Oryctolagus cuniculus: one gene and its partners. The protein of the gene in region 3 purifies or fractionates together with the protein of the main gene of each other region. This does not show direct contact. Links are inferred from orthologs where the notes say so. Each region holds a gene or a part of one and is shown on either strand. Other genes may lie near its edges. The genes, in order: AHCYL2, AHCYL1 and JOSD2.

The links.
Region 1: the proteins of JOSD2 (region 3) and AHCYL2 purify together in Homo sapiens (affinity purification with mass spectrometry; 3 studies listed by BioGRID and IntAct, counting the BioPlex papers as one, with this or other methods). This does not show direct contact. The link is inferred for Oryctolagus cuniculus from reciprocal best matches to the Homo sapiens genes JOSD2 and AHCYL2.
Region 2: the proteins of JOSD2 (region 3) and AHCYL1 purify together in Homo sapiens (affinity purification with mass spectrometry; 4 studies listed by BioGRID and IntAct, counting the BioPlex papers as one, with this or other methods). This does not show direct contact. The link is inferred for Oryctolagus cuniculus from reciprocal best matches to the Homo sapiens genes JOSD2 and AHCYL1.

Annotation. Positions count from the first base shown.
Region 1 is NC_091434.1:165,629,277-165,632,917, forward strand, and holds part of AHCYL2 (adenosylhomocysteinase 3), read left to right. Parts: intron 1-1,422; coding exon 1,423-1,543; coding exon of another isoform or gene 1,544-1,547; intron 1,548-1,910; coding exon 1,911-1,917; 3' UTR 1,918-3,641. UniProt on the Homo sapiens protein: May regulate the electrogenic sodium/bicarbonate cotransporter SLC4A4 activity and Mg(2+)-sensitivity. On the contrary of its homolog AHCYL1, does not regulate ITPR1 sensitivity to inositol 1,4,5-trisphosphate.
Region 2 is NC_091438.1:60,314,515-60,318,155, forward strand, and holds part of AHCYL1 (S-adenosylhomocysteine hydrolase-like protein 1), read right to left. Parts: intron 1,103-3,641; coding exon 991-1,102; intron 1-990. UniProt on the Homo sapiens protein: Multifaceted cellular regulator which coordinates several essential cellular functions including regulation of epithelial HCO3(-) and fluid secretion, mRNA processing and DNA replication.
Region 3 is NC_091449.1:7,410,378-7,414,533, reverse strand, and holds JOSD2 (josephin-2), read right to left. Parts: upstream 2,920-4,156; 5' UTR 2,550-2,919; intron 2,337-2,549; 5' UTR 2,120-2,336; coding exon 1,974-2,119; intron 1,062-1,973; coding exon 936-1,061; intron 660-935; coding exon 465-659; intron 378-464; coding exon 278-377; 3' UTR 102-277; downstream 1-101. Other genes in the region: ASPDH (aspartate dehydrogenase domain-containing protein), read right to left, coding at 3,175-3,218, 3,519-3,673, 3,747-3,970, 4,051-4,156. UniProt on the Homo sapiens protein: Cleaves 'Lys-63'-linked poly-ubiquitin chains, and with lesser efficiency 'Lys-48'-linked poly-ubiquitin chains (in vitro). May act as a deubiquitinating enzyme.

The DNA of each region.
Region 1 (3,641 bases), on a different chromosome or scaffold from region 3:
CTCCCATTTGTTGGTTCACTCCCCAAATGCCCACTATAGCCAAGGCTGGGCCCTCCTGAAGCCAGGAACTGGGAACTCAATCCAGGTCACCCACGTGGGTGACATGGACCCAATTACTTAACTCTCACGACTGCACCTCAGGGTCTGCATTAACAGGAAGCTGGAGTCAGGAGCAGGAGATGGGTATTGAACCCAGGCATTCCAGTATGGGATGCCGGTATCTCCAGTGGCATCTTAACTGCTAAGCCAAATGCCTGCCCCCTTATGTTATCTCTAATTCTGTTTTTCCACAAACTTTTTAAAGGAAATGACATAAAATCATAATCAAGTGTAGTGTATTCAGGTAATAAAATATACACAGAAACAGAACTAAGAGTACTAAAAACAAATAGCGTAGTATCCTTATTATTTATCTCTTCCAGTTCCCCCAGCTGTTAGTTTTGCTGAACGACCTAAAATGCAGAGTTCTGCTTCTGTCGCGTTCTTTCTGATAGACCTAGTGCTTCTCTCTCCCTCACTTTTCTGAGGAGCAGGAAAGGATCAAGGCTGAGAGTTAGTAAGCAACAGATGTTGTTTTGGAGCTGCCTTGTAGTGCAGAGGGTTACGCCCCGGCCTGTGAGGCCTGTATCCCATGTGAGCACTGGTTTGAGCCCTGGCTGCTCCACTTACAATCCAGCTCCCTGCCAATGTGCCTGGGATAGAAGCAGAAGATGGCCCAAGTGCTTGGGCCCCTGCCCTCCACAGGAGAGACCCAGATTGAGTTCCAGGCTCTTGGCTTCAGCCAGGGCTTGCAGCCATCTGGGGAGTGAACAAATGGATGGAAGATCCTTCTCTGTCTCTCTCTCTCTCTCTCTGTTATTCTGCCACCTAAGTCTTTTTTATTTTATTATTTTTTTAAGGCATGAAGTATAAAAGTGAAAGCAAACATTCCTAAGAATTGCGGGCCAAGGGTGAGCATTTGGCCTGTCAGTTAAGATGCAGGCTTTCAAGCCAGTGTCCCATACTGGAGTGCCTGGGTTCAGTACGGTCTCTGTCTCCTGACTCCATCTTCCCACCAATGCCCACCTTGAGAGACTACAGTGATGGCTCAAGGAATAGGGTTCCTGCCACCCTCATGGGAGACCTGGATGGAGTTCCCAGCTCCTGGCTTTGGCCCAGAGCAGTCTCTGCCATTGTGGGCATCTGGGGAAGTCAACCAAATGGGAGCTTGCTTACTCTGTCTTCCTGCCTCTCAAATGAAAAGAAGGGAGGGGAGAAGGGAGGGAGAAAGGGAAGAATTGAAGGCCAGTGAGCAAATGTTGAGCATATTTCATTCAGCTTCAGGAATTTAAAGGTATCCACCAATGTTTTAAGGCCTAGCTTGGGGAGACTAGCCAAATAGTAGGCGTGGAAGCTCATGCAGGGCTCTGTGATCTGTTCCAGATGAGTATGTGGCAAGCCTGCACCTGCCCACTTTTGATGCCCACCTGACGGAGCTGACAGATGAACAGGCCAAGTATCTTGGACTCAACAAGAATGGGCCCTTCAAGCCTAATTACTACAGGTGACTGGGCCCCCCAGAAACCAGGAGAGCCTAGACAGTGAAGAGCTCCCACTCAGGAGTGGATCTTTTTCTCCCCTCCATGTACATTTACATCAACTCAGACAAGTAAACCCAATCCTCCTCATTGCTCCCCGCCCCCACCCTCCCAGCCCCCATGAAGGACTCTTTGGAGCCTCCTGCAAACAATAGCGTTCTCCTCCCAAAGAAATACTGGCCTTTTTCACTGATGGGAAAGAGCCACACTTGTCTCCCCTCAGCATGCTCTCCAGAAAAGTCCCTGCCTCCCCATTAGACCTTTAGGCTCTTCACGGCCCAGCAGCCCCGCTAGCGGATAGTGTCACAGTCTCATCTTTCTTTTTCCTTCCAGGTATTAAGTTCCTGTAACTCAAGCCAGAAGAAGTTTTAAGGAATCGAAGAACTCCAAGCCTTTTCTCCACTACTACACAAGAAAGAATCCAGCAAGCTGCTTCTCCGATCAGAGCTTCCCGCCGTGCTCACCTTATGTGTTAGGTTATTTATTTATTAAAATCTAGAATCCTGTGCCTGTAGCCTTGGCCCAGAGTGTGGTTACTGCCCCCAGGGCCATGAAAGCTGCACAAGACAGGCTGAGGAAGGAAAGAAATGGGGTGAGGTTCCTAGTGCATCATTCCCATCCCCCCACCCCCATTGACTCAGAATCCTCAGCAATGGCCATTTTTCCTCGTGTCCAGGCTCAGGAGTTAGTCCAGGGATTCCAGACTCCTTGTTCCCTGGGGTTTTCTGGAATGCATTTTCAGCAGCTGCCTTTCTCAGCTTTGACCCTTCCCCAGGTGAAACCTTTTGGAAGCCACTAAATGAACACAGCCTGGGTTCCTAGCCTTGACCGTCGCTGTCACTGCCTTCTTTATAGCAAGGCTAGTAAGGAGGGAGTGTATGACTTTGACAAGCTCTACCAAGAACTCACCTCTGCCCGTGCCTGCTTGGGGTCTGCTTCCTTATCTCAGATTCCTTTCCTCTCCTTGAACACTGACTTTCATTTTAATGCTTTCTTGTTCTAAGAGCGATGTGCCTCCAGTATTTACTCAACAGCTCTGGTGTCCAGCAGACATTTCTAACCCCACCAACCTCTGCTCAGGAAGTGGGGCCAGCGCCACTGGGAACCATAGGTTACTTCCTTGTCAATTCACTGCGGTTTCCCAGGAAGCTCCCTTCTCTGCAGCTCAACTGGCTGAGGGACACAGAGATGACACTAACCTGTTTCCAGATGATCAAAGCTAATTGGAGCCTCATCAGACAGTCATCTCTTTGACCATTGCCATTGATAAAGCAGAGATCTGTAGTTTGAGCCTGCATCTGCAGTCTTTCTTCTCTGCCGTATCTTTTATAATCTGAACTATTCCATATAAAGATTATGAATTTCAGAGGTAGTTTCCTGAGTAACTCTAGCATTTAAAAAAAAAATCAGGAGAGCAGCATGAAATGTTATGTTCCACTCCAAGAGTTAGATTCCTTTTGGAGGTGGACCTGCTGGTCCACAAAGGCTCCACTGGAGTGGCCCTTAGAATCTTGAATTAAATAAGTCCCTCTCCCCTCCACCATCTCCATTTAACACTCTCATGTTTGCTGGTTCTCCCCCTCGCCTTGCTTTTTTTCCCCTAAGCTGATCTGCCTCAACGTCTCAAGACCAAGGAGACTGAAGGAAACCCCAGCTCACCCAGGATCACCATTGCCTCCCCTTCCAGACTCCCTCCCATACCTCCACCCTCTCCGCCGTCCCCTAGTCTTCACACAGACTCTCAGAGCTCGTCTGGAAGTGACCTTACTTCTGGAGGTAGGGAGGTGGTACTTGGTTAAACGGCTGTTTGCCTTGGTGTGTATCTCACAGGCTCAACCCTGAGAGCCTGGCTCTTCAGTGGCCGCGTGCCTCAGAAGTATGGGAGACAGGCCACACACCTGGCTATATCCTTTCTTTATGAGGAAGATCATAAATGCTGAAAATTCTGCCAGGCTGCTCTGCCAGTTCTTCCTTTTGCCTACCCAGTCCTGATGTGTGTGTTAATTGGATCCCTTTCACAAAAGATTCAGCTCTTCATACCTCATCTTCTATCCAGAGCAGATT
Region 2 (3,641 bases), on a different chromosome or scaffold from region 3:
CAATGACCGTCAGTTGGACAATGAGCGGGTTGGACCCCCTTCATGTTCCCAAAGTTCTGTATCCTCTTCCACATTCATTTTCTAACATGCCCTCTATGGTTGCCAAAGGCACAGCTCAAACCAGACGTAACTTTACTTACAGACAGGCAAGACGGGAGGGGAACTAAAAAGAAGAAGCGGGGCTGAGGTCTCATTACTTATGGTGGTTTGTATCTTTCCCACATCACGGATTAACAGAAGGGGATACTTCAACATAACAAGTAACTAAGCAAATAAAAGAAGGCAAAGTACCAGTATTTATTGTTACAATTCAAGCAATTTTGTGGACAAGAAAGAGAAAGACAGATGGTAGGGTGTACTTTTACCAAGAAATCAAGCTTCCTAGTATACTTCCTTTTCTTCTTCTTATTTTTTTTTTAAAGATTTACTTTGAAAGGCAGAGTTCCACAGAGAGACAGGGAAAGGCAGAGAAAGAGAGATCTTCCATTCACTGGTTCACTCCTCTTGACTACATTGACCAGGGCTGGGCCAGGTCGAAGCCAGATGCCAAGAGCTTCATGTGGGTCTCCCACATGGGCGCAGGAGTCCAAGCACTTGGGCCATTGTCCACTGCTTTCCCCGGTACATTAGCAGGGAGCTGGATGGAAAGAAGGTGGAGCAGCCAGGACGCGAACTGGCACCCATATGAGATGCAGACAGCATCTTAACCTGCTGTGCCACAGCACTGGCTCCTATACTTCCTTTTCAAGGCCAGTTCTGTCAGCCACTCTGGAACATGGATGGCATACATATGGGAATGGGAACTGGCCCAGTGTAACCAACTGGGCACTGTTCACAGACTACACACTGAGACAGTCAGGGAAGCTGTCCGAGCACACCAATAGCTTTCAGCACCTGGGCAGTCCTGACGTGGGGTGCTTTTAGATCCTGGATAAGAGCACTGGGTAGTGAACAGGTAGGAGAGATCGGAGGATGGGAACTCACGCCTACCTGAGCTGTAGCTGTCAGTAGAGGACTGGGAGATGGAGCGAGACAAAGATCTCCGGCCAGTCTTGGTAGGGAATTTGGTGAACTCCTGCATGTCATCAGCAAACTGGATTTGCTACAGGAGAAAGACAAAAAGTTGAAAACATACAACAAGGGGAGTCTATGTACTTTTAAAGGCCTTACAATATCTTCCCTAAAAGCCAACACATCACACAACTACTACTAAACCAGCAACTTGCCTACCAAGGATGGGGGGAGGCAGCTCTCTGACCCTGTAGACCAACTACTTTTCCCATCTCAATTGTTTCAGCAGGATTTCAGTGGAGAGGGTTGACTTAAGATCAAATTTCTTTTAGCATTTGTCTAATTTGAAAAATAACTCTTACTTTCCATTAATTTTTTTTCTCTAATTTTGATCCATTTATGCTTCTCCTAACTTTACCAAAGACTAGATATAATTTTATGGTAGCTCTGCCCCCCCTGCCCCCCAAGAATATTCTCTTGTAGCTAAAGTTGGCAATGGTCTTGCTTTTTGAAAGGATTATGAAGAGATGTCTAGAAATAGTGATAGGCGTCAGGATGCCAATACTCAGAGTCCAACCATATGTCCATACTTCAGACAAACAATTTAGTATCTCCAGAACCTTCTGTACCCAGTAAAAAATTAAAATACCAGAATGTGCTGATGAATAAGAAATTAAAAGACATACATACCATATTCTAGCTAATTAGGCCTTATTTGAGGGAAGGAGAGAAATAATGGCATGATAAACTGTACAAAAAAATTTCTTAAATGAAATAAACCAGAACTAGATAATTGTTGGAGGGATACTTGGAAGTTTGGCTTTAATAAACAGCAAATAGCTTGCAATTAATATTATTTGAAGATAAATTAATAGGTGTTAATAAAGTATATGAAAATACTTCCATTACATGTTTTAAATCTTCCTTCTGAATGCCTGTTTAAGTTCTGATAAATACAAAATAAACTTTGAAATAAATTTCACCAAAATGAATAGGATGGTTTGAGAATCTAAACTGAGATTCTCCTCAATATCCGACTAAATCTAAAGGTTGCCATGGAGACTCCATTAAGCCAGGTCTAGCAACTGTCTCAGGAAATATAAACGATTACAGATTAAAATCTCTGCGCAGTGCCAGCAGCACGTTCACAGCACTTCCAAGGAAGGAACAGTAAACAACCCTTTCGTTAGCCGCAAAACCCTCCTTCTGTCAGTGTACCCTCCAGATAGGGACCCATCAGCCTGCAGTGGAAGAGTCAGGCCCACGAGCACAGCCTAGGCACAGGCAGCTGAGAACAAACTGAAACCTTGGTGCACAGGTAAGGAAGCAGTAATCAAGAGGACACAGGCGCCGGCGCCGCGGCTCACTAGGCTAATCCTCCGCCTAGCGGCGCCGGCACACCGGGTTCTAGTCCCGGTCGGGGCGCCGGATTCTGTCCCGGTTGCCCCTCTTCCAGGCCAGCTCTCTGCTGTGGCCAGGGAGTGCAGTGGAGGATGGCCCAGGTGCTTGGGCCCTGCACCCCATGGGAGACCAGGAAAAGCACCTGGCTCCTGGCTCCTGCCATCGGATCAGCGCGGTGTGCCGGCCGCAGCGCGCCGGCCGCGGCGGCCATTGGAGGGTGAACCAACGGCAAAGGAAGACCTTTCTGTCTCTCTCTCTCACTGTCCACTCTGCCTGTCAAAAAAAAAAAAAAAAAAAAAAAAGAGAACACAGACTTGCGCTTTCACCTTTCTGTCTGGTATGGTATACCCCAAGAACCCAGGCAGAGGACAGTCACTGGGTAACAGCCACACGGATACCACCACTGAGCAGCAGGCCTGGGAGGACAAACCTGGGTGTGCTTCCATTAAAAATGCCTCTCGATTCAACGTCGGATGGGGCAAGTGTTTTACTTTAGGCAACTCTGTGAATGAAGGAGGGCGCAGAGTCCACAACATGTTTAAGGAAAGGACATACAAAACCCTGACATCCAGCCCAGGCTCATACACGTAAGAAGGCATTCAATACACACCTGTAGAATATGTGAACCTTTTGAAACCCTTTCTGTAAGACCAGATCAAGCTTCAAACAGATAATAAACATACAAGCTAAGCCACACACAGCTACATCAGAACTCGATCAATAAGGATCTTTGTACAACCAAAGTAGCTTTTTAAGTTTGGCACTGAAACTTTTAATTTTCAGTAGCTTAAACATCAAAAGTGCAACTGTCTTTCAAAAAACCCAAGTCCCTGAAGTGGTCACAGGCCAGGATTTCCCACTGCACGCTGGCATGCCTTCTGCAGTCAGCAGAGTGTCTTACTGAAGAGATTCAACCAGGACCAAGGCAATGACTCTCAACACAACCCACAGCTATTTTGGAGACAGAAGAAACGCATGGGCAGGACACCATCCCTGCCCTTTCACACTGTCCAGAAATGGCCCTTCCTCCACAGGCTTCCCAGCTGCTGGCCAGGGCAGTCTGTTCAGCAACTGCTCTCCTCTCACGGCTGTTAGGATTCCCTTCCCTGCTCATCTTTTTCCAGAAGGTTCTGGGCGTGTTCCCTAACACCACTTATGGGAAGTGAAGGGAGGGAACTGCAGTACCATTTACAGTTTTTTAGATAAGAGAGGAGGGCGGAAAGAGAAAG
Region 3 (4,156 bases):
GGGGGGGGGCCCTCTGAGCGCTCCCCACTGAACGTGTGCCCCGCGTGCAGCCTGGGGGCTTCCTGCTGCACCCCCAGCGAGCAGAGGGGCGTGGCCAGACCAGCAGCAAATCACAGATTTATTGAGGCAGCAGCGGCTTGGGGGGCGGGGGAGTGGGGAAGGGGCGGGGCCTCCTCCCGGCCCACGAGGCCCCAGGCCCTTCCCCGGCACTTGGCGCCCGCGAGGCCTGGCAGGGACCCCGGCGGGCAGGCAGCAGGCGGACAGGCGGCGGCGGCGGTCAGTCCGTCCGCAGCCAGCAGCCCTTCTCCTCCACCTCCTTGGTCACCACCAGCAGCACCTCGCACAGGCCCTGGGCCAGCGCCGCGGCCAGGAAGGCCCTGGGTGGGAGAAAGGGGGAGGCTGAGCCCAGGCAGCCGCGTGGGGGTGGGGGTGGGGTGGGCGGTGGGGGCCCTGCCCCCGCTCACCTGACGCCGTCCTCGTCCCCCAGGGCCTCGGGCGCCCGCAGCTTGGAGTCCAGGTTGTAGTAGACGCCGTCCACCTGGCGCAGGGCCACCCAGTGCCGCCGGCGCAGCGGCAGGGACAGCAGCCCCAGCGAGACGGGGGAGGGCAGGTTCAGGATCAGCCCCAGCACCTGAGGCAGGGCCAGCTGGGACAGCGGCCTGCGGGCGGAGGGGACGAGGGGACTCGGTCGCCGGCCCTGCCGCCCGCCCCCACCCCCTCCCTCGCCCGCCCACCAGATCCAGGCCTGTCCAGTCTCCAGCACAGCCGCCGCCCATCCGCACCTCCCTCCACCCCCCCTGCCCCCCCCGCTCCTCCCTCACCCACCCACCCACCCGTGTCCTCCCCACTGCCGCCAGCCCACCTGCTCCTGCCCAGACTGCCCGTGAGTGGGCCCTCTAGCTCACCCCGTGGCCACGCGGCGCCCGGGGCCCTACCTCCTCCTGTCCCACCACACGGCGGCCAGGCCCAGGCCCTGCAGGGCGGCCATGATGACGTTGACGTCATAGCTGCCGGTGCCCAGGAAGCTGCGGTGTGGGTTCAGCCGGGAGTCTGGGGCCAGCCTGGGGGGCGGGCGAGAGTCGGGGTGGAGGCGGGGACCCCCTCTCTTCCCACACCGCAGGAAGGGCCCCTCGTCCTCGACTCATCCTTGTCTTCAATGCCCCCCAAGACCTGCACCTCTGAACCCCGACCCTGCCCTGCACAGAGCCCCTCGGCCCCTCTCGCCATCACCATCCCCCTCCTCTGTCCTGCAAGCCCACCCAAGGCGTCGCCTCCCTGGAGATGCCCGCTGACCCCCAGGCCCGGCCCTTCAGTGCCTGGGACCGCCTGGATGGCCGCCACTGGCCCCACTTGTCTCTGGGAGGACCCTGCCCCCGCCCCGCCCCCCCATCGACCCCGTCCCTCCTGCTCGCCCAGCGCCCACAGCCCTGCGTGGTCTGCTCCCTGCTGGCTCCACCTCCCAGCCTATGCTCCAGGCCCAGGGCCACCCTGCACCCCCACCCCATGTCTCTGGGCCCAGCCTCATCCAGCTTTGTCCCCAGCAGGCCCTGGGGGGCAGGTGGGAGGGGACAGCCCACCTCCCGCCCCCACCTCCCGCACAGATCCCTCGGGGGCTGTGGGTCAGCGGCGCAAGGCGGGCAGTGGGGAGAGACAGGCAGGGCCACTTCTGGGGTGCACGGGTGGGGTCAGGGGGAGGCCGGTGGACCAGGGCCAGGCCTGAGCCGGTGGCTGGGAGGGACAGCAGGCAGTGCAGACGCGATGCAGGCGTGAAGTCTGAAGTCTGGGCCGGTGAGGGCAGCCACGCCCGGCAGAGAGAACTAACTGCCCGTGCAAAGGCCCGGGGGCAGCACAGTGCGGGAGGCCCAGGGCCCGGGGCGCCAGGGGGACGGGCAGCAGGCTGGCTCCGGGGTTGTGTGGAGGCTGCACCGGCGGAGGCCCAGGTAGGAGGCGGCGGGCCGGGCGGTGGCGGTCACCTCTTACAGATGTCGTCGGCAGCCTCCTGGCTGAAGAGCCGCTGCTGCAGGACGTTGTTGAGGGCGTGCACGGCGCACAGCTCCAGGCGCTGCCGCTCGTGGTACACGGAGGGCGGGCGCGGCCGAGCTCCCGGGGCCTGGGACATGCCGTCCTGGGCTCCTCCTGCGGAGGGGGCGCAGAGGCCGCTCAGGGGCCCAGGGCCTGGGGGCGGCTTCCTCCATGGAGGGCAGGGCCTGGGCAGCCGGGGACGACACGGGACCCCCGCGCCCTGGCTCTCCAGGGACAAGGCTCCCTGGCATCCGGGGCTGGCGACGGAGACGCAGCCCTCCGCGGCCCTGGGCAACGGGACCCCCGCTGGTTACCTAGCAACGGAGGACCCCCCCCCGACAACAAAGTCTCTGATTACCCAGCGAAACCGGAAGTCTCCTCCCCTGCCTCTGGGTGACGGGGGAGGGGTCTCTACCGGTCGCCTAGCAACACCAGAGCCCGCCTTCCCCTGGCAACCAGCCCCCTCCCCGGACAACAGGAAAAGCAGCGCGGTGCCCAGGTCCCCTGCGCCTGGCGACGCCCCTCACCCCGTCGGCCTCTCTGCTCCCCGGAGCCGGGGGCTCCCGCATCCCCTCGGACGGCGGCGCTGGGCTCCGAGCGCGGCACGAGCAGTTCCGCGCTGACGGGGCAGGCGGGACGGACTACAGCTCCCAGCGACACCAGCAAAGTGGACTACAACTCCCGGCGGCCCCAGCGGGCAGGGCCGCTTAACCCGGAAGTCCGCCGTCGCCCCTCCAGGGCGCGCGACTATAACTTCCGTGGGTCGGGGGAGGAGGGGGTGCAAATCCCGGAAATGCGCCCCGCGCCCGCCCCCTGGCTGCGACCGCGCCCACGGCCGCTCGGAAGCTCCTGGGAAACGCAGCGGGTAGGTTCTCGCGATAGCTTCCGGGCCTGTGCCCGCCCATTGCAGTGGCGTCACACGCGGAGTGCGGACGCGGCGTGACGTCACGGAAGGGAAAGAAGGCCGGGATGGTGGGGGAGGAGCCTCGGGTCTTTACTGAGACTGGAGGGACATCCCGGGAAAGGGGGGCCGGGGCCTGGCCGGGGGTGGGGCGGAGGCGGGGAGGGTCCGCCCGCCGAGGGGCCGGCCGGGGAGGGCGGGGGCGGGGAGGGTCCGCCCACCGAGGGGCCGGCCGGGTGGGCGGAGGCTTCTCAGCAGAGGTGGATTCCGGGCCCGGGGGGCAGCTGGCGGCAGCCTGCGGGGGAGACAGGAGCTGAGCCGGACCCCCGCGGGGGCACGGGGCAGTCGCGGAGCGAGAAGGCTGGGGGGCTCGGAAGTAATGGACGTCGGGCCAGGCGGACCCAGGCCCCCCGGCCTCCGGTCCCCCGGCCCTCCGCCCCCCAGACCCTGGCCCCGGGCCCCTGCCCCCGGACCCCCGGACCCCGCCCCCTGGATCCCCGGGCCCCGCCCCCAGACCCCGGTCCCGCCCCCCGGACCCCGCCCCCAGACCCCCGGCCCCCGGATCTCGGGACCCCGCTCCAGGGGCCGGCCGCACCCAGGAGGCTGCGCCAGAAAGCCGCGACGGTGGCCGAGCCCGTGACGGCGCCCGGCTCTGCAGGGTTCTCTCTGTGGGTGTGCACGGCAAAGCGCCGGCCCGTGGGCCCCGGGGGTCCGCGCAGCTCCACGTCCACGACGTGCATGTCCGCGAGGCTGCAGGAGGCGGGGGGGGGTCAGTGTGGGGGCCTGCAGCCCGCGCGACCCCTCCCCGCTCAGCTCCGCTCACCTGAGATCGGCCACCAGCACCCCGATCACGCCGTCGAAACCCAGGCTGGGGGCAGCCAGCGCAGCGGCCGCCATGGTGTTGGAGTTACGCGGGGCAAAGGGGCAGAGTCCACGGACGGGGCCTTCGTAGAGGACCGTGCGAGGCCCAGTGCTGTGGGCTGCGGCAGCCAGGGGTCCCTCGAGCCGGAAGCCATCCGGGTGCGTGGCCATAGTGACGCGGAGGCTCTGGGAGCGGGGGCCGAGGTCAGAGGGGCTGGGGTCCTGCAGGCCCCCTCCGGCCCCGGGGAGCCCAGCGGGTCCCTCACCTGGAGGCCTCCGGCCGCGTCCAACCTCATGATGTCCTCAGCGCCCCACAGGGCCCCTCGAGCCACAAACACAGCGTGGTTCCAGCGCTGCGAGGCCTCCCGGAGC